Caenorhabditis elegans: one gene and its partners. The protein of the gene in region 1 purifies or fractionates together with the protein of each later gene. This does not show direct contact. Each region holds a gene or a part of one and is shown in the gene's direction. Other genes may lie near its edges. The genes, in order: tofu-4, T27F6.6, gly-13 and fbxa-12.

Region 1 (6,091 bases):
CTCTCTGTGGCAATAGCTGGAGCGGCACCTGATGGATCTACGTCAGCGAACGAACCAGCTACATCGAGAATACTCGAAACTCGGCCGTAGTGTCTCTCCGCAGCAATAACTGAAGCTGCTCCTGCTGGTTGCTCCGTGACAACCGTTTGAGCTTCTTCAGACTGATGCTCCGTCACAATGATTGGAACGCTCTCCGATTGATGACCAGTAACATTAATTGGAGCTGCTTCTTCATGCTGCTCGGTGTCAATTGATAAGTCGGCAAGTCCCTCAACAGCAATTTCATTTTGAGCATCTTGAGCATCATTTTGAGCATCGTTCTCCTCAGCCCTTGCTACATCCAATATACTTGGTACACGACCGTAGATGGGACTTTCACGAACGTCTTCCTCCACTGTATCGTCAGTTGGCAGATCAGCGACGTCGAGAATACTCGACACTCGTCCATATTTTCTCTTCCGTGGTCTTTTATCCGGGATACTACCGTTCGCCAAATCTACCTGAGCCTCTTCCGAAACCGGATTTGCAACTGGGTCTGGTTTTTTCCTGTTAATAGAAGTATTTGAAACGCCATATCTTGCTGTTGAGCTCTCCTGCTTCTCAGATGTAGTATTATCTAGATCCGCAGCTTCCTCAGGTATTGCAGACTTTGATTCATTTCTCTTCTCGGGAGAGGTGATAATAGCATCAGAGTCAATTTGAAGAGAATTCTGAGCATCAGAGTCAATTTGAAGAGAATTCTGAGCATCATCATCATTTTGTTCTTCTGGCTGTTCATCGACTTCAACTGGAGGTACAAGCCGACGAGCACTTCTCTGTAAATTATTGAACTTAACATTTTTATTATAACAATAAAAATAATTACCCTTTTTGGGTTCACTATTGGTTCTTCTTCTTTCTGTTCGCATCGTTCATTGTTCTTCGTGGTGCGTTTACTGGAACGTCTCATCTGAGCTTTTGGCGCTTTTTGAGGTTGCTCTTTCACCGGGGACTCCACGGGAGAAGCCGGTTCCGTTGGAGTTATCGGGACAGCGGGAGCTCTCGTTGAACGTTTCTTTGCAGCTTTCACTATTGGAGAACGTTCCCTTTCAACAACCATTGGAACTTCATCATTATCAGCAATCAATACATTATATTCGGACTGCAGAACCATCATTTCACTGGCCATACTTGGATTACAACGAATTGATTCGTTTGCCACATCTTCGTCCATACGTACTTCTTGACGACCTATAAACATTAGAAAATTAATTTTTTTTCTCGACAAAACGCACCTGGTGAAAAATAGATTTCGTCAAGTTCAGGATTCTCAGCACAATTCATTGTGTTATCTCGAACAACTTCGATCGGTGTGATCGTTGAGTTGAGCAAATCATCTTCAAAATGAGAAACTTCCACTGGTGGACGAATGGCTGAAGGCTGTTCAACCATGAATTTCGAGGCATATGCGAATTGAAATCTGAATCAATTTAATTAAGAATTTGATGATTGAAATGACGAACAAACCCATTGCCGTGAGGAAAACTAACAGCACCAAGATTGATCTGCTCAGGATTCACAAAATCGTCGACTTGTTGAAATCCGGGAACGAATTCCGGTTCTAAAACAATAATTTATTTATGATTTAAATTAAATATTTTTAACCTTACCTCCTCTGTATGCTACTTTCATCGATGGAATGAGGCCTCTTGGTAGCGGACGGAGCAGGCTTAGAACATTTCTAAGCTCGCTGAACATCTTGCAAAACTGTTGAGCAGTATCATCCATGTTTAAATAATTCACCACAAATTTAGATTTACGCCTGGAAAAGAGTCAGTGAAATTTATATTTAGATAAATGATCTAACCCTCCGTATCCGATTTCGGCACTTGCAGATGTGGTTGAGTCATAGACAAAGGTCCAGACAAACGTTTCCACGGGATTCGTGTTTAGTGACTCTTCAACGACAATAGCGAGTTTCTGCAAACAATGAATTTTTACCACTTACGAGAGTAAAACTGTACCTGAAGGAGTTTCTGACGGATCGCGTCATGAGACGCCAAAAGCTTCGAAGACACACTCCGTCCTTCTGGAATGTCTTGTCGCAAAGTATATCCGCTGACATCTCCTATAAAATAATTCATGCTTAATTGCAAGTCAGATAGATAAAACCTCACCATAAACTTGAAAATCCTGGAAGTATTCCGCAGGAATAACTTTCCGTTCACGGAGAATTGTTGAGTTTGCAAGATAAACGCAGTTGGCCATCACTTCAAGAGAGCTTTTCGAATTTTCATCACCATTTTTCAATGTTTGCTCGTTGAATATAGCCTGAAAATTTTCGTTTTCTCGACAAAAAAAACTCTGTCAAATCTACTCACCCTGTCATCACTCGTCAGAGAGCCAGGGACAACAGAAGAGTCGAAGCTTTCGTCCATTTTGACACTTAAAATATTTTAAAACATTTTTTTTAATTAAAAACTAATTGAAAATGAGAAAAAACTGAAAAATAAATGAATAATTTGACATAAAATAACTAATTTCAACCGAAGTTTACCGTAACTCAGGTCAACATGTTGTGTTCTCGTGTCGAGACCCATGGAAGAAATGTCATGCACCTTTAAGTTTTTTCTTTTATATTTCAATTTTTTTCCGTTCATTTTCTACTTAAAATGCACTTTCAAGAGAATTTCTCATATTTTGAAGTTTTAAAATTGTAGTTTATTAAAATCTGAGCATATCTCTATGTATTTTGAGTCTAGAAACCGCTTTGAAATGTGCAAAGAACAGATGAAAGCACTTAAAATTTAAATAAACGTTTTTTACTTATTCATTTATTGTGTTTTTAAGCTTCTATATTTAATAATGAGACATTAATTTCAGATGAAACCGACGACGAGAAGCGCATCAAAAAGAGCAAATGCGGAATCTTCGGGAGTGAACCAGCCCGAGAAGAAATCACGAATTCCTGAAACAGAAATTGTAGAGGATCCGTTGGAGATCGAAGTACCGCCCGCATCGGCAGATGGCACTGACAACAAGAGTTTTTCAGAAAATGAATACGACGATGATCACAGTAGCAGCAGCGACGAGGAGAGTGATGATGAATACGTTGTGGAGACTCACAAGAGTTCGATGGTGGATGCTGCAGAAAGTTCCGAAGGCGAGCGACCGGATGAACGCGTATGCTGCCTTTTAAAAAATTTTTATCGATTTAACTTCTTTAAGATTGTCCGAGAATTAGAGCAGAAAATTGCTCGTGGGTTGAAGAACGACAGGATTCTCAAAAAGAAAAAGAAAGCGTTAGATGGGGAAGTCTCAGACACTGAAGACGTGGTTTGTGAGTACGAACCACAAGCGATGCCGAAGCAACGAAGAAGGCGACTGTATAGAAGAAAAATGGTGGGATTTTAATGCTAGTTGTTGAAATTTAGAAATGATTTCTTGCAGACCAGACCTCAAGGAGTCCCTAAAAGACGTCGCATCAAGAGACCGGACCTGGAACTTGCAGATGATTACACCTGTGACACTTTTGCTGAGCAAGGATTGACTCTGAAGGTGTGTAAGAATTTATAATTTAAATATTTGCAATAATTTTTCAGTCTTTGACAAGTGACATCAAACAAGACGATCCTGAAGTCGATTGGAAAGCAATGAGAAGGATGGGTATCGGAATCAGATCAACAAAAAGAGACGAAATCAATTCCGATGAGGATGAAGCGGATATTATTTCGCATTCATTTTCTTTCTACCAAACAAGAAACTCTAAAGAGCAAGTGGCACAGGCCGTCGAACTAAATATGAACCCTTTTTCGGAGAAGATCGCGAGCTACAAGTAATTGTTAAGAGAAATATCATGAATAAATATTATGTTTTCAGTGCTCCAAAGTCCGTTCATGGATACAGTCGATCTTCAATTCAAAATCAACATTCAGGATTTATTGACAAGAACGACATCAAATATCCGGACGAATTATTATGGCAGGAACCATTTACGTGAGTATTTTAAAACCATATATATTGATTAAGAATATTTTTCAGCCATCTCGTCTTCTTCCAATCCACATTCAATGCTCACGAGTCTTCCATCAAGTTCCTGAATAATGTCGCAAATTCAAAAAAGCAGGAAAGAGACTCCAAACTGATGAAGGAAATTCGCGAAAGGATTAAGCAGAAATCGCTCGGACATGTAGATGTTCCAATCGACTACACAAACGTGGAAAGTACATCGGAGCAGCCGTCGACTATTGATCAGTACAGCCTTCCTGACCTGACTAGTCAATGCGACGAGGGAACCATAAAGGAGGAAGAAGACTTCGACTATCTGATGGTAGACGCAGAATTCTAAAAGAATTTTTATCCGAGTCACATTATTGTTTTAATTATTCTCTGTTTGTTTCAAATTTTAGAGCATCTAGCTGTTGTTTGAGAATCTCAAATCTCAAATTTATTTATATCGTGAGAATATAATCTATCGTTTTTTCCCGTATTTGACCAAACATTTTCTGTAATATTTAGCTTTTTCGCAATCGTTCGACACTTTATATACGTTCTTTGTTTCTTTTCTAGTAAGATGTTTTTTTTTTTAATAAAACTTTTTTTAAATTTTGAAAATCAAGTTTCATAGAAAAATAGCGATGAGATTCTTGGGAGCGACCAGAAAAATTTGATACAAAACATTAATGGAGATGGAAGAAATAAGTTATTAAATATCAGTCGGTTGACTGTGACGCTTGAATACATCCGTTGTCAAGATCGGATCGGTTTTTGTTAGGCAGGGGAAAATAGTTCTGAAAAATTGAAGATTTAACTTCTTCAGTGGTTTCATTGCATTTTTAGTTATTACGGAAACACAAAGTTCTGAGAAACGCGCAACATATTTGAAGCGCAAAATATCTCGTCGCGAAAACTACAGTAATTCTTTAAATGACTACTGTAGTGATTGTGCCGATTTACGGGCCCGAGTTTTGAAATAAATTATTTATAGATATTGAAATTGAGCAAAAAATCAAAAAAACTAATGATACGAAAAAACTAATTGTAAAGAAAGTTGAAATCGCTGTCACAATTCGAACAGAAATTCATTTCGAAATTCGAGCCCATAAATCGACACAAGCACTACAGTAATAATTTAGAGAATTACTGTAGTTTTTGCTACGAGATATTTTGCGCAATACGCATTCTCAGAATTTTGTGTTCTCGTTATGTCGCGACATGTCGTGTATTTATTCACATGCCTTCTTAAAGGCGCATATGTTTCTTCAGATGGGTCTCGACCCGCAAAAGTTTATGGTGGTTTTTTTTAAATTTTCGCCGCTGTCTTCCTTGCATTTTCGATGAAATTATTACATATATAGCGAATTTTGTCATTTTTCTGTTAAAAATTAAAAGAGCCGCAAAAAGCCTACCATAAACTTTTGCGCGCCGAGACCCATTTGAATTAATCCGTGCGCCTTCAAGTAGGCATGTCAAAATCTTGTGAAATTACGATACCTTTTCAGAATATTTCTAAATTCCCGCATTCTCATGAAACAAAGTGGCTGAAGAAGTGAATGAAATGAGATGAACAAATAACACGTGTATTTTGTGAAAATGTATCCACTTCTGGCATGAACTGGAATTCCTTTGCTTCTGCTGAAAAAAATGAATTCGTGTTTATTATTTAAGATTTGATATTTAAAAAATACCTAGTGATATTAACAAGATGCATTCCTTGAATAACTGCATAAGTGGTTAGATATACTGAATATACCAAAATGACACTTCCAATCATTAGCACGTACTTCTTTCGACGAGCAATCGATTTTCCGTGTGAATGATCTTCTTTCAGAAGATCAGTTTCAGCTTGGTATTTGACATCGGCTCGTACAAGTTTTGTGATTATTCTGGAAATTTTTTAAATTAAAAGAGCATAGAACTTTAGAATTTAAAACTTTCTAGACTTCATTATCTACATCATATGAAGTCTCTATAAAATTTGGAACCTGTAGGGATCCCTGTGCAGGGATCGTGGCGAGACTCACTCAGTAAAACAACATGTGCCTTTAAACTGAAGTGTCATACTTTTATGAATTCACGATATATTTTTGTTAAATCTATGGATTATTCGTAC
Region 2 (7,996 bases), 7.7 Mb from region 1:
GGTCTTTAGTGCAAAATGTCGTCAAATCAAGTGTCCCGGGGTTACTGTAGCCTGGTGTTTGCGTACTTGACACCGAATTTAACGGGATTTCGTCCAAACACTCTAAAAATAAAAGGATATATGTTATTTAGCACGGAGAACTCGAAGTTTAACTCAGAAATTCAAATTATTTAGGTTTTTGCCCGAAAAAATCCAATTTTTTCAGCCAACCGCCGAGGAAATGTGCACAGAACTGATCGCAACACTATCACCGCTCAAAAAATCACAATTTCCCCTTATTGTCTATCAAATCGGTGAAAAATTTCGCGATGAAATGAATCCGAGATTCGGATTAATGCGTGGGCGTCAATTTCTAATGAAGGATATGTATTCGTTTTCCACTGATGCGGAGACATCTCAACAAACATATGCACAGATTCGTCAGATTTATGATCGAATTTTTGGAGAGATTTTGCAGTTGGACGAGGATGTGATTAAGGTGAAAATTTCATTTAAAAAAAGTAGAAAAATCGATTTTTAGACTCAAAAATTCAAAATTTTGAGCTAAAATTGGCAAGTTTTGACTCATTTTTAGTCTAAAATCGTTGAAAACTCGAGTTTTAACCCAAAAATTCAAATTTTCCGCCAACCGCATGTCGCTTGTGCGCTCTATTGCGAATTGTCGATAGAGCGCATCTACAACGTGCGATCCGCGGGAAATCTGAATTTTAGGCTTAAATTTTGCTGCAAACGCGCCCCAACGACAGAAATCCAAAATTTTTCAGGTGGAAGCAGATTCCGGAGTACATGGAGGTCATATAAGTCATGAATATCACCTGAAAAGCAGTTTGGAGGAGGATTTTGTGAATTTCTGCGAAAATTGCAAAAATCACAACAAATTCGAAGGTCCAGGGCCGGCGAAATGTGAAAAATGTGCTGAAAATTCATCAAAAACTGTGCAAAAAATCCCATCCGTCGAAATTGCGCACACATTCCACCTCGGCACCAAATATTCAGAAGCTCTCGGAGCCAAATTTCAAGGAAAACCATTGGATATGTGCTGTTTTGGAATTGGTGTAACACGGCTTCTTCCGGCGGCAATTGATTTGTTATCAGTTAGTGATAAGGCTCTCCGACTGCCCAGAGCTATCGCTCCGTTCGATGCTGTGATTATTGTAAAGAAAGTGAGCAATTTTGGAGAAAAAATTGAGAAAAATCGAATTTTTCGCTAAAAAATCGTGAAAAATCAAGATTTTTCACTGCGAAATCCAGAAAATTCGATAAAATCTTAGTTTTCAACTCAAAAATTCAAATTTCCCGCCGACCGCATGACGCAACTGCGCTCCATTGAGAAAACTGCCATTTTCGTGTTAAATTTTTTTTTTTCGATTTTCCCTACTGAAAATGATTTTTTTGGAGAAAAAACGAATAGAATATCATTAGAGCGCACTTGCAACCTGTGATCGACAAGAAATGTGAATTTCTGAGATGATTTTTGACGCTTTTTGGCGATTTTTGCTCTAAAATGTTTAAAAAATTAATTTTTCAACCAATTTTCCTTGCAGAGCCTCATGTCGAATGTGATTGTGGAAATGGCGAGCTCGTCGGCTTCTCGTTATCTAAAAGGAGGCATTTTATTGGACGATCGTGTGGAAATGTCGGCCGGAAAGCGAATTCACGACGCAAATCGACTCGGAATTCCATTTATTCTCGTTATTGCGAACGAGACGGAGCGGAGTCTTGCTACGCAGGTAAAAACGGTCGAAAATTCCATTTTTTCAGCAAAGAAAAAGCGGAAATTCCACGAAAAAACGGGAGAAAATAGGCGAAAATTTGAAAATTTCAGCAAAAAATTCAAATTTTCCGCTGCTCGTTTACTGCAAATGCGCTCCAATGATAATTTTCACATCGGAGCGCATTTGCAGCCTAAAAAAACACAATTTTAAGCCAATTTTCCCCTATTTCAGAAGCCCGTCATCGAGGTATTCACGACACACGCCAAGTCTGCGGAGCCCATGTCTCAGGGCTCAATGAGCTTGGACCGTTTCGTGACTTTTGTGCAATCTACGCTTTATGGAGGTGGCGGAGCACACGATTCTGGTCATTTGGCACATAATCAAGTACTTGATCAACTCGGATCTCATCAGCATTGAATTTTGTTGAAAATTTGATTTTTAGGAGATTTCTATGGTTTTTTTGTTACATTTCTTTGATTTTCTTGTTTTTTCCTGAAAAAATGTGATTTTTAGACTCTTTCTAGTGTTTTTTGAGGTTTTCGAACCTTTTTATACCTATTTTGCCCTTCAAAACACGAATTTAAGCCCATATTCCAGGCTAATGGAGCCATCCAGCGAGCAAGAGTCCCAGGAAAGTCAGAAAGTCGACATGGAGCCGGTTTTCCGCCGGGAATCATTCGCCGCGTTGAGAAGAAGTGAGAAAATTGGAAAAAAAACGGCTGAAATTCAAGTTTTTCACCCAAGAATTTGAATTTTCTACCGACTGCACTGTGCAAATGCGCTCCAATGAGAAAACTGTCGTTGGAGCGCGATTGCAGCAGGATCGGCGGGAATTTCAAATTTCTGAATCAAAATATTGATATTTCGCTAGTTTTGCGCGTATTTTAGCTTAATTTTCAATCAGGGATCTAATTTTTCACGATTTTCCCTCCCGAATTATCGATTTTTTGCAGATAACGTGGCTGCTCGTCAACTCCGTGTGGTTACCCTTAACGCGTGGTGTCTCCCACAACCCTGGCCCATCGGATCTACGGATCGAGTTCACCGACTGAATAAAATCGGCCAATACATGATTGATGAGCTCTACGACATTGTCGGGCTCCAGGAGCTCTGGTCATATTATGATTTTGTGCGACTCAGCGAGCAAGTCTCGTCGGTTTATCCGTATTTTCACTATTTTCACTCGGGATTCACTGGCAGTGGTGTCTGTGTGTTTTCTAGGTGATTTTTTCTACAAAAAGATTTAAAAAATCGATAAAATCCTACTTTTTCCGAAAGTTGTCCGAATGGCGCAGTGGGATTTCCGCCGACTACCAATCTGAAGAGCGGGGTTCGAGTCCCCACTAAGGCAACATTTTTTGATTTATTGTGCATACGCTGCAAAAGTTTTTTTTTTAACTTAAAAATCTTAGCATTCCCACAAAATTAGTTTAAAAATTTTTTCTGAAAACATGTAATTTTTTCTGAAAATATGACAATTTTTTTTCGAAAAATCCAAATCTCAACTCTAAACCTTCACTAAAAACAGTTTCCTGCTCATTTTACAACGTCTAGAATCTAATTTCTGCAAAACAAAAAATAGTTGCCACCGTGGGGGGTCGAACCCCGGTCTTCAGTTTGGTGGTAGCCATCGAAAATCCCACTGCGCCACTTGTTCACATTGAAAAAATTTTCGGTTTTTTTCAAACATTTTGTTAAATTTTTAGAAATTTGTGGAATATTTGGGTTAAAAGGATAAAACTGAACAAAATTACGTTTAATATAATATCCTTTTAATATTAATAAAATTTAATATAATATAATATCCAAAAAAAAAAATTTTTCCGAATTTTCATCAAATCTTCTCCAATTTTTTTCCATATTTTCAGACACCCAATCGTATCCACTTTAACAAATCGATATTCTCTCAACGGATTCGCTCATCACATTCACCGCGGCGACTGGTTCGGCGGAAAAGTTGTCGGGCTTACCGAAATCGAGATTGACGGCGATTTGCGCGTCAATTTCTACACAACACATCTTCACGCGGAGTACGATCGTGAAAATGATCTCTATTTGCCGCACAGAACCGCGCAGGTGCTTGAAAACTCGAAAAATTCAGAAAAAATCAATATTTTAGGAAGTTTTACTCAAAAAATTAATTTTTCCATCAAGATTTCGCAGTTTTTAACTCAAAAATTCAAATTCCCGCCAAAAAATCCATAGGACTTCTTGCAAGTGCGCTCTATTGATAATTATGCATTAGAGCGCATTTGCAGCTGGGAATTTGATTTTTCGAGTCAATTTTTCGAGCATGTGACTCGAAAATAAGTGAAATAGACAATTTTTGACAAAATTTAATTTTTCAGGCATTCGAACTTGCTCAATTCGTCCGCCATACGGCTCGCGGAGCCGACGTTGTCATTGTGACCGGAGATTTGAATATGGAACCGTGTGATTTGGGCTTCCGGCTTATTTTGTCGCATGCCAAACTTTTCGACGCGTGGCGAATGAGCCACGAAGTGGAAAATGAGGATTCCGAAGGAGAACTACTCAAATTTCGAGGAATTGCAAAAGGCGGAACGTGTGATCGACCAGACAATTGTTATACGAAGCGGGCGCTGAAAAATGTGGTGCGAATTTGAAAAATTCGCTGAAAATTGAAAAAATCGTGAATTTTACTCGAAAATTCGAAAATTTAGGATAAAAATTGCTAAAATTTGGATTTTATAGCCTAAAATACTATGAAAATTGTAAAAATTCATAAAAATTCGTGAATTTTTCACGAAAATTTGAATTTTCCCCGATTTTCTCATTGGTGCGCACTTGCAATGTAGTGATCGCCGCGAAATTCAATTTTCCAGCACAAAATTGGAGAAAATCAGGGATTTTTTTTGGTATTTTATCTGAAAAATCTGAATTTGAACCGATTTCCTTGAATTTTAGAGCGTTTTTCACCAGATTTTCTCCAAAAAATCGATGTGCACAATTTTTACGCAAAAAAAAAATAAAAAATAGGAAAAATCAATAATTTATCGATTTTTTTCAAATTTCAGGACGACTCCAAACGCATCGACTATATGCTATTCAAATCCGGGCGGTGCAATGTAAAATTGGAGGAATGTGAGATCACGTTGAACCAAATTCCCGGTGAAGACCTTAATTATTCGGATCACGTTGGCCTCCGCGCTCGTTTCACGATTGATGATCGTTTTCGACACGAAAAATCTGTTAACACTTGGGAACCGAATCGTCCGTTGCTTATTGAGGCTATCGGGCTTGTTGCAGGTGCGGAAAAGTTAGGCCACCGAGTGGAAATTGGTGGCCGAACTTTTTTCTGTAGTGTTTAAGAACACAGATTTTGCACTCGTGGCCTAGAATTTTTGAAAAACTAGGCCATCGTGTAGAAAAGTTAGGCCACCGAGTGGAAATTGGTGGTCGAACTCTTTTCCGTAGTTTTCCTGGGAAAAACACATGTTTCTGTGCAAAAAAATGCGAGAATTGGTTTAAAAAATCTTATTTTGTACTCGAGGCCTAGAATATTTGGAAACTAGTCCCTCCAAGAAAAAAAGTTAGGCCACCGGCTCAAATTTTGTGGTTTTCTACTTTTTTTCTTTTTTTTTGACATTAAAAAATTTATTTCATGTTCGTAAAACTAAAAAGTCCATAAAAATCAAGTTTTTTAAAAACTAGGCCACCAAATGAAAAGTTCGGCCACCAACTGAAAATAGCCGATTTTTCCCCAATTTTTTGCATTTTTTCAGGCGGAGAACGTCGCGCACGCACGGATCGCATCTTTTTCTTCATTTTGGCGGTAATTTGTCTGATTTTAATCCTCGGAAGCCTATTTTTCGAAGTTTTTCCGATGGGATTCGCCGTTTTACGCTTTGCACTGACTGTCGTTGGAGTTTTCTTCGTTTGGCAAGGACTTATTGGCTTAACGTTGGAACGGAAGGCTTTGAAGGCCGCAAAACAGGCGATTCAGCAGATTTTGAATAATTAAACGCTGAAAATTGCAATTTTTAACCCAAAAATTCAAATTTCCCGCCAAAATTCGAATTTGTACAGCTTTATTATTAAGGGCATCTAGTTTCTCAACCGTTTTATCGATTTTTTTCTGTGATATAGTTTTTTTTTGCTAATTTTCCTGTTGAAATGAAGAATTTTATTATATATTTTGATTTTTCTCTAATTTTTTCTGTGAATTTGAATCGTTTTCATGCGATTTTCATATTTTTATTGATTAATAAAGTCAGGCCACTGCCAGAAAACTGCGGGGACTAGAAAAATCTACCTGAAGATTAGGCCACCACTGTTTGGAATGATGGTTTTTGGCGAATTTTTGGTCAAAATTCGCCATTTTTGACAGATTTTTGTGAAAAATTCAAATTTCGGTTGTCGTAAATCTAGTCCACCAACTTGAAAAGAAGTTAGGCCATAAACTCCTTTCTAGCTGATTTTTCTGCAGAAACACAATGGATCGAATGTTGGGATGGTTGAAACGTCGATCGGAGAACGCCCAGGTCACCTACTCGCGATTCGGACTGCCCGGTGACGAAGTGGACGAACGGCCGCCACCCACGCTCTGCCACGTGGCACATTTTGACGACGACGCTCCGGAATACCGCGCGTTTTTTACACATGCGACACGGGCGGCCGCCATTGCCGCTGGCTTTGGGCTCAGCTGCTCGCTCTTCTCGTTTGCAATGTTCTTGTTCGAATTCCGATGGGATGATCATGGCCGAGGTTTCGATGCGGGCACTGTTGGTATGGAAAATTAATGAAAAATTAAATTTCCGGCACTTTTGTCGTTGGAGCGCACTTTCAGCATGCGATCGGCGCGAAATTTAAATTTTTGAGTCTATTATAAAGATCTTGGCCAAAATTTTGCACAAAAACGATAATAATCTCAGGTTCTGTTGATTTTTTCGCCGAAAATTTAAGTTTTCGGCATATCTCTCAATAGAGCGCGCTTGCCAGCGATCGGCTGGAAAACTGGAATTTTTCCTTCAAATTCGAAATTTCTGGGGCATTTCTCAATAGAGCAGACTTGCATCAGGCGTGAAATTTGATTTTCTAGCACGAAATCTCTACAAATCGTGAAATGTTACGAAAATTCAAACAATTTTCTCATGAAAGTTGAAATTCGATTTTTTGAAAATTGATCACAAATTTATTTCGAAAACCTAAAAAAACTTTCGATCGGATGCAGTAAGCGCGCTCTATCGACAAATCTGGTAGTTTTCGCAATAGAGCGCGCTTGCAACATGCGGTCGGCGCAAAATTCAAATTTTTGAGTTATTTTTCCAGTTTTTAAGCAAAATTCGTCCTGAAAATCCAAAAAATTCAAAATTTTTGCAGTTGCCTCCCTCCTGTTCCTGATAATCGGCGTCCTAGTCCATTGGCAAGTTATAATCGGAATAAAAAAGGAGTCTGCGGTGCATATGATCCCAGCAATCATGGTCTACACGTTTTTGATTGTCGTCGAGCTGATTGTCTACGTTTTGGCCGCGTAAGTTTAGAAACTGCCCGGCGGACTAGAAAACGCAGCTGAAAAACCTCGGCCACCACTTGAAAATCCAATTTTTCTTCAGAAATCACCTCGTCAACTCGGCTTCCCTGTTCGCCTATCCACCGGACAAACAGACGCCAACGTTCCTCACATTATCGATTTTCTACCTGACACTTGTCGGAATTCAGACTTCGATGCTTTTGTCGATTACCAAGGCTCGGAACTACTACGAAGCCAAGGATATCCATAAAAAGGAGGTTCGGGTTGCCGAACATGGGGTTAGTTGCCGGAAAAGTTGAAATATTTTCGTGAAATTACTGTTTTTGAGCCAAAAATGATCTTTTTAGCGGTTTTAGCTTTGAAAAACGCTAAATTTGGCGATTTTCGAGCCAGAAATGGTCTTGACACGACAATTTTCTGTGGACTTCAAAAGGGTGTGCGCCTTTAAAGAGTACTGTAGCTTCTAACTTTTCGTAATTCTTCTCAGGAGTGAGCAGCAATTGCGGTTTGACAAGTGTTTTCCGGCAAATCGACAAATTGCCGGTTTGCCGGAAATTTTCAATTCCGGCAAATTGCCGATTTGCCGGACAGCTTTAATTCCGGCAAAGCGCCGATTTGCCAGAAATTTTCAATTCCGACAAAGTGCCGATTTCTCGAACAGCTTCAATTCTGACAGTTTACCGATTTGCCGGAAATTTTCAATATGGCAAATTACCGGTTTGCCGAAAAATTTCAATTCCGGCAAATTGACGATTTGCCGAAAAAAATCGTTTGCCGCCCATCCCTGGTT
Region 3 (7,659 bases), on another chromosome or scaffold:
ATAAACGTTTTGTTAAAGCTCACAATGTCCATACACTGGTTCATAGTTATGAAGAACCACTGTTTGGCATACTTCTTCAGTGGTTTCACTCATTCCAACCAACATTGACTTTTTCACCAAGAAAAATGGTTTTGGCTTCCGAGTGACAGATTCCAATTGTGAGCTTTGAGCAACTAGAATATAATAAATTCCTACAAGAGCATTTCTAGAATAATAACCCTAATTCACTAACCAAGAGCCTCAGCAAGGAGAAGTGCAACGAAGATTAGAGAAAACTTCGTTACACTGAACGGCATTCAGAAGTGTTGGGATGAAGCTAAACTTCTTTTACAAGATTTTGAATTTGAATTTCAAAATCTCTATAAAATAAATGAAATTTTAAAAAGAGATCAAAAGTAATACAACCATTCAAATCCTGCAAATAGAAAGCACCGCCCCTTTGACCCATGTCTTAATTTCAGGTTTCAGGTTTTGGGAAAAAACCAATTTCCATTCACAGGCACAATACCCATTATCGTATTTCGATCCATCATATTTTCACGTAAAACCAATAATTGTAATGGGCGTTTTCACTCCCTCTTTTGTTTGTTTCAGCCTTGCAACCAGTAGTTGTTGAAAGTCGGAAGTATTTCAATGGATAAAGTGGACAGGGAAGTGACATCAAGCTGGTTATGGATGCGAACAAATTGAAACTAACCTGTGAATTGAAATCGTTGATCAAAAATCGGTGTGCAAAATACTGAAATAAACGAAAACTGTTGCAGAAATCGAAAACACTTGTTTTAGGTCTTACCACGTGTTTGGTCGATATTCACGGTTTGAAATCTGTGCCGGAAAAATGAACATAAAGGTTTAATAAAAACTGTATTTTTCACATTTATTCTTTTGCGGCAAAAAAGCGTGCGACCCCGATATTTGATAAGTTTTATTTGAAAAGTCTCCAACCATTTAAAACTGAACACCAATAATTATGATATCTTCAATAAAATCTACTAACGACATAGAATGTCAGACGGTTTTGGGATTTGGTTGATTTACAAAGTATGTGTTGCAAAAACCGAGAAGTTCACATTTTTTGACTGAAACAAGACTAAAAAAAGGATTTGCCAACGTTTTTATTGCATGCAGTCATTTTAGCTAAAAGTAATTTTTCCTACTGGCGCAACCCAAGGCTGGAAAATCTATTGGGCAGCCAAGCAAATTGGCAACAGTTTGAGTTTTTCAAACCAAAAAATTGTCTCACATTAGCCCTGCGCAATAGTAATTTTTATTTCGGTCTGTTAACCATTAGAAACATGATATTGGACTTGTCTTTTCTCCCGATTCTTCATGGTTTGACTGAAAATATATGTATTTCAATGATAGTTTTCTGCTATACACTATTTCAACACTCCAATTACAAAACAAAAATGTCACGAGATCTCTCATCATTTAATTTTTCGAAATGAAACGTAATTTTTGATCTTGCAACGATGCTATTAGTGACCGTCATTTCCATTGGCAAGGCTGGGTCATAGCTACTTGAGAACAAGTTCTCTTGAATCGACAATATCAATTACGAGAAAGACCACTTCTTCTCGCTCACAAATTGTTTTTATTTTTTTTATTGTTTGACATTACAGATTAAGAAATGATGAATCTTTCAACAGCTATTATCTCTTGTTTATGCATTGGAGTTCTTAGCTATGAAAATAAGTTTCAATTTACTGGAACTGTGTATTGCAAAAGTAACGCCCCATGGTGTGTAAGAATTCGTGTTATAGAAGTTGATACATTGTGAGTTTTATCAGATTAGCAAATGTTGCATACATTGAGAGAAATTATTTTCCATGGTAAAAATTTAAATTTAGAAAAAAAATTTAAATTTAAATTTAAATGTAAATCTTCTATGTATTACAAACACATTTTAGAGTCGACGACGGAGTTGCCTCAGTTGATTTTTGTTCAAATGAAGTTACTCAAACTTACGATATTGGAGGAGTGCAAGAAAATGATGGACTTCTGGACGTAGGTTTTAAAAATTGAATTGGTAACAAGTCAAATGATTAGAAGCAAGTAAAAATAGTGATTCAATTTTTGGCAAACATGCGTAAACGTTGGAGTTTAAATTTTTATTTATTTAATAGTTCCTTCATATCAATAACATTATTCCACAGTTTATTTTATTTTCCATGATTCTCATATTTTTTGTCAGTGTTAAATCACAGTAAAATACATATATCAGTTAAGCTGTTACGTAGGCAATAATACTAAAATGCTGGAAATTTTTTTTAAACTATAAACAATATTTGATAAGAATTCCAAAAAAAATTTCAGCGTAATTTTGAACTCCAAATGGTTGTATTCCATAACTGCAGTCGCAACACTGAAACTGTCTTCAAAACGGGAATCTGGAGAATTCCGCTTCCGAAGGCTCCAACTGTGTAAGTCAAATAAAGTTTAAATAAGCTTTAATAGAACTTTACTTTCAGCTAAATTCAATAATTTTTTCAGACACGCTCCTATTCGCCAACATTTGAACTTGAATACGAATAATTCACAATAATTTTACGATCTTTCACAATTTTTTTATTTTGCTTCTTTTTCGAAAATAAAATTCAAGAATCAGACTAATGTAAAATCAGCGATTTATACTTTTACAAAGCAATTACATGCACCATATCGAAATCTTGCAAAATACTGCATAAACTACGGGATTAGCGGTGGGGTTTTGCGTCCTCAATAAATAGCGTGTCACCCAGTTGTGTGCGGCATAGTGGCAAAACACCATGCGGCGGGTTGCATGGGGGAGGAGTCTCACCGAAACCACGTCAAACTGCGGTTTATTAACCAAATATTATTAACATTTATTGTTTTTCCGTGGTTTTTTTTTTGCAATATTTATTTGTATTTTTCAAATATTAAAAGGTATATTTTTATTAATAATTTTCAGGCGGATGTGTACATATTTCCACCTAAAATCATGCATGCGGTGACAAAAATCTTTATCATTTTCATATTTGTATTTATTTTATGGACGCTCTACGTAGAAAATGATATAACAAATGTAAGTTTTTATTTAATTCGAAAAATATATAAAAACCAAGCTTTAGAGAACCAGAAATACGGATAATATTGATGATTTACTGGAATCAGCGAATAGATTGGAGCGGTTATTGAAGTTTGAGGCAAAGAAGATTGCTGCGTTGGCGGAAGATGTGCACAAAATAAGGGCAAACAGGAAGGGAAAACATGTGATAATGGAAGAAATGGTAAGGGTTTAAATTTTGAAATTTCAAAACTGAATTCAGAGTTACAATAAATCTATTTTTGCCATGTGAAACTGAATTGATGCTAACAGGGGTTTCAATGATCTTCGAGAGTAACTGCGAACTCCAAATTTATAAAAAAATTTTTAATAAAAAATGTACCATTTCAAAATTTCAGGTTTCTCAAGATTTGAAGCAATGGAAAGACCCCATTCCGGTTTTGGTATGCAGATTCGGAGTTTCTTTTCAAAATAATTGAGTTCTTTCCAGGTTTTCTCCTGTAATCGTGCGATGGCAGTGAGAGACCATGTTGAGAAACTTATCAGGTACCTTTCCATAGTTATTTTTGCAATAATTTTTATTAAGTATGTTTCCAGGTACCGACCAAGTCAGGAGAAGTTCCCAATCATTGTTACCCAAGACTGTGATAATGAAAATGTGAAGAACGAAGTGAAGAAGTTTGGAGACAAAGTGGAGTACATTAAGGTAGATTTCAAAAATCTCTGTCTGCAATCTCAATTTCATATAATTTCAGCATTTGGCCGGCGATAAAGCGAATATCACAATTCCACCCAGTCACCGACAGTACACCGCTTATTACCGCATAGCACGTCATTACAAATTGGCGCTCAATCACGTTTTTGTTGATAAGGGCTACTCATCAGTCATTATTACAGAAGGCAAGGTGATCATTTGATTTCATTTTAGATAAACTAAAATTACAGACGATCTCGACATTTCGCCAGACTTCTTCTCGTACTTCTCAAGTACGCGATATTTGCTGGAAAACGATGAGAAATTGTGGTGCGTCACTGCCTGGAACGACAATGGAAAAGTGAATAATACAATCTTAAATTTAATTGACTGTTGCTGAAAATATGTTTTTTCAGCAAGAGAATATTGACATGACTGCGGCTTCTACGTTGTACAGAAGTGACTTCTTTGCAGGACTTGGCTGGATGATGTCTTCGTGAGTTTCGGAAAATTATTTTTACTCATCAGTCATTATTACAGAAATATCATGTTTTTCTGAGAATAATGAAACTAGGGAGTTATAAGAATTTTTCGAAACTATTTTGTCTGTCGAAATCTGTAACATTTTCGAAAGGCTTAACACTTTTTTCCAGAGAACCGAACTTACAATTTCAAAAATTACGATTTTAATTTCTGCAAAATGTTTATGCTAATTTTGAGCTGTGATTTTTTTATATTTTCAGGAAAACGTGGCATGAACTAGAACCAATTTGGCCTGTAGGATTTTGGGATGACTGGATGCGAGACCCTGCACGGCGTAAAGATCGTCAATGCATCCGACCTGAAATCAGTAGGACAGGGATGATGTCTTATGGAAAAGAAGGCGCCAGCAAGTATGAGATTTCTACAATTAAAAGTCTCATAAATCTGTTTACAGAGGCCAGTTCTTCAGCAAGCATTTGGCAAAGATAAAAGTCAACGATAAGTACATCAACTTTGGGAAGATTGACTTGGATTATTTGTTGCCTGTGAGTGGTTTCCCAGTTTGCATAAAACTGCCCAGTTTTCCTGTTTCAGGCCAATTTCGCGAAGAAAACAAATTTGGAAGTCATGAAGGAAGCCGTTGAGCTGAGCATAGATAATGTGGCTTCTTTTGTATTGAGCTCGGAGAACAAAGGAAAAAGTGTCAGGTAGGAGTAACGCACTTTTAAAATGGGCCTTGAATTGACAAACGAGGATCATGAGTCATAAGAAAACGTTGGTGGAATCTTTTTTTTTTTTGAAGAAGAATCGAATCAACGATGAAAGTAAAACCGAACTAAAATGAAGAGAAACCATTCAATTTTTTTTTTGAAAGTACTAAAAAACATTGCTTTAATCCTTTAACATTGTTAGTTAGTGAACATTATTATCCAAACGGATGAGAAGACCGAATAGCAATGCGTTGTAGTCCAACATCTTGAAAACTTCTGAAAAATGATTTTAAGAATTGTTTGCTGGCTTCGTGTCATTAGTTTTTTTTAACTTTTTGACAGAGATGTTTGCAAATTTTGTGCAACTTATCTCTTATTTTATCAACATACATACTGTATTAAACACATTAATTAACTGTAGTATGTTTCAGAGTGATGTACGATGGCAATATTGACTACATCCGGAAAGCTGACAAACTTCATATAATGCACGATTTCAAAGCTGGTGTCCCACGTACTGCATATGATGGAATAGTCACTTGTTTTATAAACGGAATTCGTATTTACTTGGTACCTGACAGAACAAAAGTGTCAGCATATAATCCAGATTGGTCGGTTCCGCCGTCGTTTGGAGAGTAGTTTTGTGGCTTTGATAATGTTTAAACTTTATATTTCACGGGTTTCATTCTTACCGAATCTAGTCGACTCTGGCCTGCATTCCTATTATTTTGTTCAACTCTTTCCAGTGAATCTGACATTTGCAGCTAGTAATTTGATGTGAAAATTATTACCTTGTTTCGAGATGTGATTGCCCTACGAAATTCATATCTTTTCTCAGCAATTGCACGTTTTATTTGCTACGTTGGTTGTTATTTTAGGGGTATTGTAATTGATTATCAATCTTTTTCTTTCCAATATGTTACATTCCACGGAAAAATAGTTTTTTTTTGCAATGAATAAACGAGTGAGCGTTTTGAAACAAACACTGAAATAATCAATAGAAATTTATTAGAAATTGTTTTATTTCAATGAACAATAGAAAAATACAAGAAAGCGGACAAGTAATGGTGTAACAGCAACATGCTAGACACTCGTCAAGAACACAGAAACCCGAATTTCAAAAAATGGAAGAAAACGTGTGAAAGTGCTTACTAACACAGAGAGCTTGGAGAAGATCACGCAAAAATTATGATTAGAAGTAGTCGAAAAAAATGGTAGAAGTAGGCGGAAACCATGTGGCTGGTGAGTTTTTGGTGAGTGTGGTATCTCTACGCTAAAACATCATACGGTTAGGTGACACGTCATCTTGCGAAACTTTTTGGTTGGCCTGTAAAGTGGGTGAGTGTGTGAAGCGGTGAGCCCGAAGTGATAGCGTTTACCTCCTTTAACATGTGTAAAGTTTCATCAACCTGTGAAATAAACAGAAAATCGATATAAACAACATGAGTAGTCCAAACTAAAGGGGCAAGAAGCAAAGCTAAAAGAAGACTGCAGCCGAGGAGTACTGAAAAATAAATTATTAAACTGAATATCATCTTTAGAAGGTTTTTTTGTAAATATATATGAATTGGAAATAACTATCCAGTGTTATAGTGTGAACCTATGACATCAATTATCCCAGACATCCCAGACAAAAAAAATGTAATTCTACGGATACACTTTTCTGAATTTTAGCATAATTTAACTAATTTTTACGTATCATGAACCAGTTATATTTGTGTTATAGCTCTAGCCCTAAATGGTTTTGATAGTTAAACCTCAGTGAACACGTGAATAACTATTCTATAACTGGTTTGATTATTAGACTTAGAAATCAAACTTTCAAAATAAATAAATCTAAAAAAGTTGGTCATCATTAAAAAAAACACAGCCATTTGAAGGTCTAGCTTTTGCAAAAATATCTAACGTTTTCTTATAATAAGGATAAAGAAAAAACGCCAAAAACAAACCTTGGTCCGTCCCGAACGGGATATCCTCAAGTGGCAACCTTAAAAGGGCTGACAGAAACATCTTCGGAAACACTACAGCCAGTAATAGAATTGTAATTAATATTAAGTCGTATATTAAAAATACAAGCTGCAATATTCAGGTAAGCCTGTCAAAATATGCAGTTCAAAACTCACTTGTATTATCACAAATGGTATAAGGCACATTTTAGCTCCACGAAATGCTCCGTAACACGTTGAAATTAATACGGACCCTGAATAAATACATTGGCTGGATTAGTTTTTGAATTTGTAAGATTTTGAAAAGATTTTTTGAGTGTTGTATCGCTGATTGATGTTCAAAAAAATTCGCTCAGAAAATAATCAGGAAATGTAGAAATGTAAACAAATTTTTTGACAAATTCTCCCTCACCTAGAATAATCACAGAAAACATCACCGAAGTTGCGTTCCCAAAAAAAGAGATGAAGATGATGATGGCGACATAGAAGGGTATCGTCAACACGCTAATCAACTTGGTGAGTAGCTGCAAACAATTGTAAATACAAATAAATAATAATAAAAGCATTTTTCAGATGATCCCCTCTCTAAATTCCTTGCCAATAAACAAGGATTCCGTGTTTGCTTGATGTGTGATCGTCATCTTTCATGTTTACTGGGTTCCTTTACTTACCAAAACATGAACCCTTCGTCCACAATATGAAAATGGATCATAGCCAAGACCGTGTACTTCAGTGTCCAGATGGTTTACTCTCCGTCGTCGTTGCTCGGCTTCTGATACAAGGAATTCACTGAAAATC
Region 4 (7,505 bases), on another chromosome or scaffold:
CCGCCAAATTGTAATTTCAAGAAATTTTACGAGTTGAGCTCGTGTAGACCTTTCAAAAGACACTTATTTTGCCTAGGATCCGTCAATTTTGAAAATTTCGGTCCTCCGACACAGCTGAAGTCATAGCTACAGTACCCATCGTGGTGGGACCCAAATTTTTAAAATGCGCGGAACCTAGGCAATATGGGGGGTCATTTTAAAGGTTTTAACGCCCTGAGTTTGAATTCAGCAGTGAAAATTTAGGAATTTTGATTTTGAAAAAAAATTCCGAAAAAAATTTCGAATTTTTTTTGAAATTAAAAAAAAAACGATTTTAATCGTAAATTTTCTGTATTTTGCAGGTACAACAACAACATGACCACCACTGATCCATACCACATTTGTGCAGAAGCCGATGGCCTATACTGTAGTAATAGGCAACTGGATACCGATATTCCCGATCATTTGACATATTTCGGCGTATTTTTCCCAGATTGGCATTTTACATGTTAATTTATTGATTTTTAAATGTAAATTTATTCAATTTATTGTTGCAGAATTTTTGTTTCGAAAAACACAAGAAATTCCATTACAGATGTTTGAAAATAAAATAAAAAGGAATTAGCATTTTCTAATTTCAACCATCAAATGTGAAGCATTATTATAACGACGAAGTTTGAAATTAGCTCCACTGCTTGTAAACTCAATATCCATTTCATCACCAATAGTAAAATCTGGTTGAAACAATCTTGCAAATTCGATCAGATTTCCAGGGTCAAACCAAATAATGCAACGCCGGAAACTACTTCTTTTCAAGAGGTCCTGAAAGTTGCAACTTACTACATATATCTGTGGTGTATGATATATATGATGTGCCTATATATTTATGACTCCATATATATATATAGTATATATATATATATATATATATATATATATATATTTCTATATATATATATATTTATATAAATATATATATACAGATAATTTTTTCCACGGGAATTGACGGGAATTCAAATTTTCTGATAATGAGAAAAAAAACTATCACAGTTGCAACTTACATCTCGAATTTTAATTGCGTCTTCTTGTGGAAATTGAACAATCGTTGTACAGAACTCTTCGAAATGAAAGAAATGATCAATTGCTGTCAGGTAACAATTTGTAACACCATAATACGTGGATCGGAAGCTTTTTGCACATTTCCACTGATCCAGCAAAGTGATCCTTTCAAAATCAAGAACCTTGCCAATGAGCAAACAATTAATATCGTCCAGCACGTCCGCTTCAAAACACGGCAATATTGAAAGAATTTCGTTGAATGTTAGGTATAGAAGATTTATTTTCTTCACGTGAACGCTTCCTCCGTTCTCCAAAACATTCACAAGAGATTTGAGAACCTCGTTTTTATTTCTTGTAAAGTTTTGCAGAACAAATGAAGATGCATGGTTCATTGCTATTTTCAGGTCCTTGAATGCCAACTCCATGAAATCTTTTTCTTGGATAATAGTCTTCCGTCCTTTGTAGATCACAGCTGAATCAGTGTATTCCAGTTCAATCTTATCAAACCGTATTGAAAGGGTTTCGCTCATAACGTCCAGCTTGATGGTGTCAAAACGGATTCCAAGCTTGTCAAGGGCGGCTCTCAAGCTTCGACAGACTTTACGGCAGGTTAGTCTGGAATTTAAATAGTTTTTGATTTAACACTGCAAGTAAAGTTTTAAGTCTAAGCCTACCATTTTAGCTCCGCCTATTTTTCAGCCAATTAACGTTTAGCTCCGCCTATTTCTCAGCCAATCAACGTTTAACTCCGCCTATTTTTCAGCGAATCAACGTTTAGCTCCGCCTATTCCTCAGCCAATCGACGTCTCAGCCAATCAACGTTTTGCTCCGCCTATTTTTCAGCGAATCAACGTTTAGCTCCGCCTATTCCTCAGCCAATCGACGTCTCAGCCAATCAGCAATTAGCTCTGCCTATTTCTCAGCCAATTAACGTTTATCTCCGCCTATTTCTCAGCCAATCAACGTTTAAATCCGCCTATATCTCAGCCAATCAACGTTTAACTCCGCCTATTTTTCAGCGAATCAACGTTTAGCTCCGCCTATTCCTCAGCCAATCGACGTTTAGCTCCGCCTATTTCTCAGCCAATCAGCAATTAGCTCTGCCTATTTCTCAGCCAATTAACGTTTATCTCCGCCTATTTCTCAGCCAATCAACGTTTAAATCCGCCTATATCTCAGCCAATCAACGTTTAACTCCGCCTATTTTTCAGCGAATCAACGTTTAGCTCCGCCTATTCCTCAGCCAATCGACGTTTAGCTCCGCCTATTTCTCAGCCAATCAGCAATTAGCTCTGCCTATTTCTCAGCCAATTAACGTTTATCTCCGCCTATTTCTCAGCCAATCAACGTTTAGATCCGCCTATATCTCAGCCAATCAACGTTTAGCTCCGCCTATTTCTCAGCCAATCAACGTTTAGCTCCGCCTATTTCTCAGCCAATCAACGTTTATCTCCGCCTATTTCTCAGCCAATCAACGTTTAGATCCGCCTATATCTCAGCCAATCAACGTTTAGCTCCGCCTATTTCTCAGCCAATCAACGTTTAGCTCCGCCTATTTCTCAGCCAATCAACGTTTAGCTCCGCCCACTTTTCAACCAATCAGCATTTAGCTGCACCCAATTCTTAACCATTCAGCGGAGGAAAGCAGCCCCTTCTGATTGGCCAGAAGTTGCTCAACATCATAGTTTTTTTCGTAGTTTTTAAGAGTTTCGAGATTATTCTGTATATTTTGAAATTTGAAAATGAAAAATTCGCATTGCTGTTAAAATGCAAAAAAACTTACCGTTCAATGGGCTCCAGCTTTTCAAAACATGATTGGCAATTTCCAACGGCAATTCTAGTAAAGTAGGCATTTTCGAAAGTTTCTTTTTTCAAGTAAAAACCTGAAGTTTTCAGTGTAAAATTTGAAGAAATTGGGAAGTTTCGAGTAAAATGAAATTATACCAATGTGTGACTGTTATCAGTTTAAATATTTTTTCGGGAAAAACGGATGGAGTCATACTTTTTTTACGGAGGAAATGTTTAAATACCATGCGTCATTGGAGTTTGTATAATAGAGAGAGTGAATAGACGTTTTTGGTTCATTTTTACGTTTGAATTTACATATAACTCCAGTAAAATGTCCAAGTTATCGCCAACTTTGCTCACTATCAGTATGCCTTTGGAAATTTCTGATGAAATTTTGTCAAAATTGCCTGCAATGGATCTGTAAGTTGAAGTTATAATTTCACAAATTTTTCCAAATGAAAGTCAAACTTTATGCTAAAAAATTTGAATTTCCCGCCAAAATGTTCAAAAAACATTTAATTTGAATTTCGCGCCACAAATTTTTAAAAATGTTGATATTAACGGTGCGTCAAAATTTATTTGTTCAATAACAAAATTAAATTTTATGCCAAAATTGTTTGGAATATTAAAATGTTTTAAAAATTTTAAATTTATTTTTGTACCCAAATTTTTTAAATATTGATTTTGGCGCCAAAATTTTTATTCTTTAAAAAATTGAATTTCGTGCCAAAAATGTTTGAAAAATTAAAATTTGAATATATATTTTTTTAAGATTAAAAACGTTTTTTTTTTTGAGAAATTTAAATTTGAATTTGGCGCCAAAATGTTTAAAAAATTAAAATTTGAATTTTCCGCCAAATAATTTTAAAAAATTGAATTTGAATTCAAATTCAAAATTTTGGAAAATTTTAAAATTGAATTTGGTTCCTAATTTTTTTATGATAAAAATTTGAAATGTGCTCCAAAATATTTTAAAAAGTTCAATTTGAATTTTCTGCCAAATATTGTTGGGAAATTAAAATTTGAATTCCGTGCCAAAAATTTAAGTTTTTTTCATGATTATATCTGATCTTTTCGGTACCAAATAAGTGTTTCCAGCTCAAAGGAGTCTTAAAATCTTTTTAGTAAAAATGCAATGTTCCAGACTATCCTGCCGTAAAGTGTGCAAAAGTCTGAGAAGCGCCGTTGACCAATCAGGAAACCATCTCAACAGAATCTCATTTGACATTTGTAATGATTTCGTTGCGATGGACTTAAACGGAAGTCAAATCAAATATACCGATGTTTCTGGTACTGCATACGTGACTTACAAAGGACGAGAAACAAAAATCGAAGAAGACAATTTCATGCGAGCAGCGTTCAACGACTTGGCGAGCGTATTGAAAAACGTGAAGAAGTTCGTTTTTCAGAACTATTCGAAAGTAAAACAACAAGCCATCACATCGTCGATAAATGATATGTTGGAAAATAAATGTATAGCCGTAGAGTCAGTAGTACTATACAACTTCCCACATGATGATATTTTGAACATCATTTCGAGTTGTCAAGCTGAAGTGCTCAAAGATATTGTATTATGGCACCGCGACGGAGTCGAGTTATCTGAAAGAATCACTTGTCTGGACCAATGGAAAAAAGCACGAACTTTGCATTGTCGGTTTTTGTTTTGTGATCTAGTACCAATTGAGCACTTTTTTCACTTTGAAGAGTTCAGTATTCAAATTGACAATCTCTCAATGCCAAATGCGATTAAAATTCGAGATGTGAGTTTTTCTGATTTTCACATGTATGTGGTATATAGTAGTAGTAGTAGTAGTAGTAATCAAGGGTGTCGGTTTTTCGTTTTTCGGTTTTTTGAAAATCGAAAAATCGAAAAATTTCGTTTTTCGTTTTTTCGATTTTTCGATTTTTTTTTTTTTTTTCAGAAATTAGCTTCATATTTTAGCCATTATTCTTCTTTTTAGAAGAAATGTGTATGTTTTATTATAAATTCAAGCAAAATTAGATTTAAAAAATCATATTTTAAGGATAATTTTCCGAAAATCTTTTTCGATTTTTCGATTTTCCAGAGAATCGAAAAATCGAAAAATTTTCGATTTTTCGGTTTCTGAAAATCGAAAAATCGAAAATTTTCGTTTTTCGATTTTCAATTTTTCGATTTTTCGATTTTTCGATTTTCACTGAAAAAAATTAAAAAATCGAAAAAATCGAAAAATCTAAAAATCGAAAAATGACACCCTTGGTAGTAATAGTGTGTAGTAGTATATAATTTGTATGTAGTATGTATGTATGTAGCATGTATTTATGTAGTATGTAGCATGTATATATGTAGTATGTAGTATGTAGTATGTATGTATCTAGTATGTAGTATTAGTAGCAGTAGTAGTAGTAGTATATAGTATGTATGTAACATGTATGTATGCAACATGTATGTATGTAGTATGTATGTATATAGTATGTATGTATGAAGTAGTGGTGTGTATGTATGCATGAATAACCTAATGAAATTTCTCGAAACCTTCTGAAAAAAGTTGCGGTGGTTTAAAAAATTACCGAAATTTGAAATTTGACCGACTTGTCAAGCACTAACTTTTATGAAATTACCATATAGCTATCTTAAGTTTTAACTTGATTTAGATACATTTAAAGTCGACGGATCACCAGATTTCGTAAATTTAAGTAAACCGAAATCAAGTCAAGACATCTTACTTGTATACCCAAATTTTTTTCAGGACCTCATGAACAAAACTACATTCAAGACCTGCACTATTTCAACTCACCATAATGTGCAATCAATTGAACTTGCAAGAATATTTCAACCGGACTATATGGGCGACATTGACTATAACATCAAATATTCTAATAACACTGGCACCTTCGAAATTTCTTTCAAATCATCACTTACTATTAGAGCACGGTTTGTTATTAAAAAATGCTGACAACAAAGGGATCTTGTTTCTATATTTTCCAAACGACCAAAATTATTCATATGTGCATTAAAAAAGTTTAATAAAAAACATGCTTCATTTTTGAAAAAAAAGCCCATTAATAATTTTTCAAGCAACACTGTTCACTGCTGAAACTCTTGTAGCCCAACTACCATCAGCAGACGGCTTCCGCACGAAGAAAGCCCGAACAGCGTTCCTGTACGGTGTAATGAAGTAAATTTGAAAAATTGGATCCAAGAAGCAAGGAAGTGCTCCTAGACAGGTTATTGTGTACTGAGAGATCAGGAATTGATGGCCTAAAGGTGATATATACAAATTATATTGGTTTGATAAGCTTCCCTTACCAGTGACTTGAATCAGAATAAATAAAAACACTACGGGGATATAACTAAGCATCGGCAGAAAGATTTGAAAGTTCAGGCCCTGGAAACCAAATTAAGCTATATAACAAAAGCTTACGCCTACAATAATCATTTTCCGAAACATAACACGTGTAGCGTCCGATGTGTTTGGGGATACATGAGGTTTAAGAAGCTTCATCGCCTGATGCTTCCAGTAGCTGCCGATCATTGGAAAATACAACGTGACAAGGAACATAGCCACTGTAGAATTATCGAGATAAACTTTTTGAGCTTGGCTGAACCCTCCAAAATTCAGATACGGAGTGTAGTCATACTCAGGGTAATGGGCTAGCGTTTCATTGTAGACTGCCAGATGGTCGGAGGGAGGAATCAAGGTAGAAGTCTGTAATAATATGGATTGGCTAGCTTTGTACGACGTCTAGCTACCAGATAGGCTATTATGAACAGGTAATGCCAAGAAAAAATCAAGGTGTTACGGCCAATTTCCTGGGCGTTGATCAACTTCAGACATACGGTGCGATAGTAGAGAGTGTGCAAGTTGATCAAGTTCACTGTTAGTACAGAAGTCTGGAAATTTGGAGGACAAGAGGGCCTACAGGGCTTGAAAGAGGATATCTCACCGCATATGCTTTATAGCACGTCGCACAAAACGTTGGCCCGAGAAACTTACAAAACCCATCACACAGCAACCCCATGGAATTCTCATTATCAATATTTCTTTAAAAAATTTAACTTAAAGGTGGAGTAGCGCCAGTGGGGAAATTGTGAAAAACCACTTATTTGATCCCAAAATGACCAAATATCATGATAAAACTTTTCAAAAAATTTTTGAAATTTTTTTATTTACTGTCAAAAAGTGGCAATTACTCAGTTTTTGCCACTCATAATTTTGGAAGTCGAGAAAATTTTGGCAATTTGCAATTTGACCGGAAATTATGAAAAATCTAAAATTTTTTGGAGTGTTTTATGATGATATTCGGTTGTTTTGGATCATTATAAGTGCATTTAGACAAAATCCCCACTGGCACTACTCCACCTTTAAAACCGCACAATCTCAGATTCTCGCAAACCTCGTTTGTGTTCCAAACGCCAATGTTAAAGAAACAAATGTAGCCGTACATGAAGCGTAGAGAAAATATCTCATGGCTTTTAAGACGTTGGTGGTAAAGTTGTAGATCAAAATGTACATGGTTGAAAACAGGCATAAGCTGAGTAGGTAGAACGGTGGCCAGTAGAAGCGGAACAAGTATTGGAGAATGTCCATTTCCAAAAAGTTGGGTTATGAGAATTTGAGCTGGAGATGATTTTTAAAGAGAAGCGAACCGAAAAACCGCATGCATCAGCAACCACGAACTCAAGTTTTTGCTAATGA

What was found.
Region 2: the proteins of tofu-4 (region 1) and T27F6.6 fractionate together in Caenorhabditis elegans (co-fractionation; one large-scale study listed by BioGRID). This does not show direct contact.
Region 3: the proteins of tofu-4 (region 1) and gly-13 fractionate together in Caenorhabditis elegans (co-fractionation; one large-scale study listed by BioGRID). This does not show direct contact.
Region 4: the proteins of tofu-4 (region 1) and fbxa-12 fractionate together in Caenorhabditis elegans (co-fractionation; one large-scale study listed by BioGRID). This does not show direct contact.

The regions. Positions count from the first base shown.
Region 1 is NC_003279.8:4,823,405-4,829,495, reverse strand, and holds tofu-4 (Twenty One u-rna (21U-RNA) biogenesis Fouled Up), read left to right. Parts: upstream 1-2,856; 5' UTR 2,857-2,862; coding exon 2,863-3,162; intron 3,163-3,207; coding exon 3,208-3,381; intron 3,382-3,429; coding exon 3,430-3,537; intron 3,538-3,581; coding exon 3,582-3,814; intron 3,815-3,858; coding exon 3,859-3,975; intron 3,976-4,020; coding exon 4,021-4,327; 3' UTR 4,328-4,592; downstream 4,593-6,091. Other genes in the region: htp-3 (HORMA domain-containing protein), read right to left, coding at 1-815, 866-1,230, 1,275-1,459, 1,507-1,600, 1,650-1,801, 1,847-1,959, 2,004-2,107, 2,157-2,310 and 1 more; F57C9.6 (G-protein coupled receptors family 1 profile domain-containing protein), read right to left, coding at 4,685-4,769, 5,473-5,613, 5,667-5,864.
Region 2 is NC_003279.8:12,488,664-12,496,659, forward strand, and holds T27F6.6 (Putative neutral sphingomyelinase), read left to right. Parts: upstream 1-2,312; 5' UTR 2,313-2,316; coding exon 2,317-2,410; intron 2,411-2,668; coding exon 2,669-2,936; intron 2,937-3,583; coding exon 3,584-3,791; intron 3,792-4,063; coding exon 4,064-4,327; intron 4,328-4,750; coding exon 4,751-4,982; intron 4,983-5,458; coding exon 5,459-5,697; 3' UTR 5,698-5,867; downstream 5,868-7,996. Other genes in the region: pars-2 (putative proline--tRNA ligase, mitochondrial), read left to right, coding at 206-478, 765-1,163, 1,545-1,730, 1,947-2,132; T27F6.7 (uncharacterized protein), read left to right, coding at 6,170-6,461, 7,056-7,206, 7,289-7,484. UniProt on the Caenorhabditis elegans protein: Catalyzes the hydrolysis of sphingomyelin producing a ceramide (N-acyl-sphingoid base) and a phosphocholine. C.elegans contain specific sphingoid bases, which are unique or different in structure compared to the sphingoid bases found in other animals.
Region 3 is NC_003284.9:9,291,896-9,299,554, reverse strand, and holds gly-13 (Putative alpha-1,3-mannosyl-glycoprotein 2-beta-N-acetylglucosaminyltransferase), read left to right. Parts: upstream 1-2,932; 5' UTR 2,933-2,962; coding exon 2,963-3,046; intron 3,047-3,092; coding exon 3,093-3,251; intron 3,252-3,426; coding exon 3,427-3,471; intron 3,472-3,518; coding exon 3,519-3,574; intron 3,575-3,625; coding exon 3,626-3,734; intron 3,735-3,783; coding exon 3,784-3,928; intron 3,929-3,973; coding exon 3,974-4,083; intron 4,084-4,138; coding exon 4,139-4,218; intron 4,219-4,465; coding exon 4,466-4,615; intron 4,616-4,659; coding exon 4,660-4,750; intron 4,751-4,799; coding exon 4,800-4,912; intron 4,913-5,346; coding exon 5,347-5,554; 3' UTR 5,555-5,898; downstream 5,899-7,659. Other genes in the region: B0416.2 (uncharacterized protein), read right to left, coding at 24-173, 233-296; B0416.7 (uncharacterized protein), read left to right, coding at 1,634-1,776, 1,911-2,007, 2,317-2,423, 2,494-2,545; B0416.3 (uncharacterized protein), read right to left, coding at 6,189-6,242, 6,295-6,419, 6,865-6,991, 7,039-7,115, 7,274-7,385, 7,533-7,650.
Region 4 is NC_003281.10:2,216,604-2,224,108, forward strand, and holds fbxa-12 (F-box domain-containing protein), read left to right. Parts: upstream 1-3,104; 5' UTR 3,105-3,193; coding exon 3,194-3,246; intron 3,247-3,970; coding exon 3,971-4,586; intron 4,587-5,555; coding exon 5,556-5,762; 3' UTR 5,763-5,838; downstream 5,839-7,505. Other genes in the region: C39B5.14 (Fungal lipase-type domain-containing protein), read left to right, coding at 342-492; srd-65 (Serpentine Receptor, class D (Delta)), read right to left, coding at 5,880-6,067, 6,116-6,194, 6,237-6,515, 6,560-6,700, 6,754-6,850, 7,204-7,397.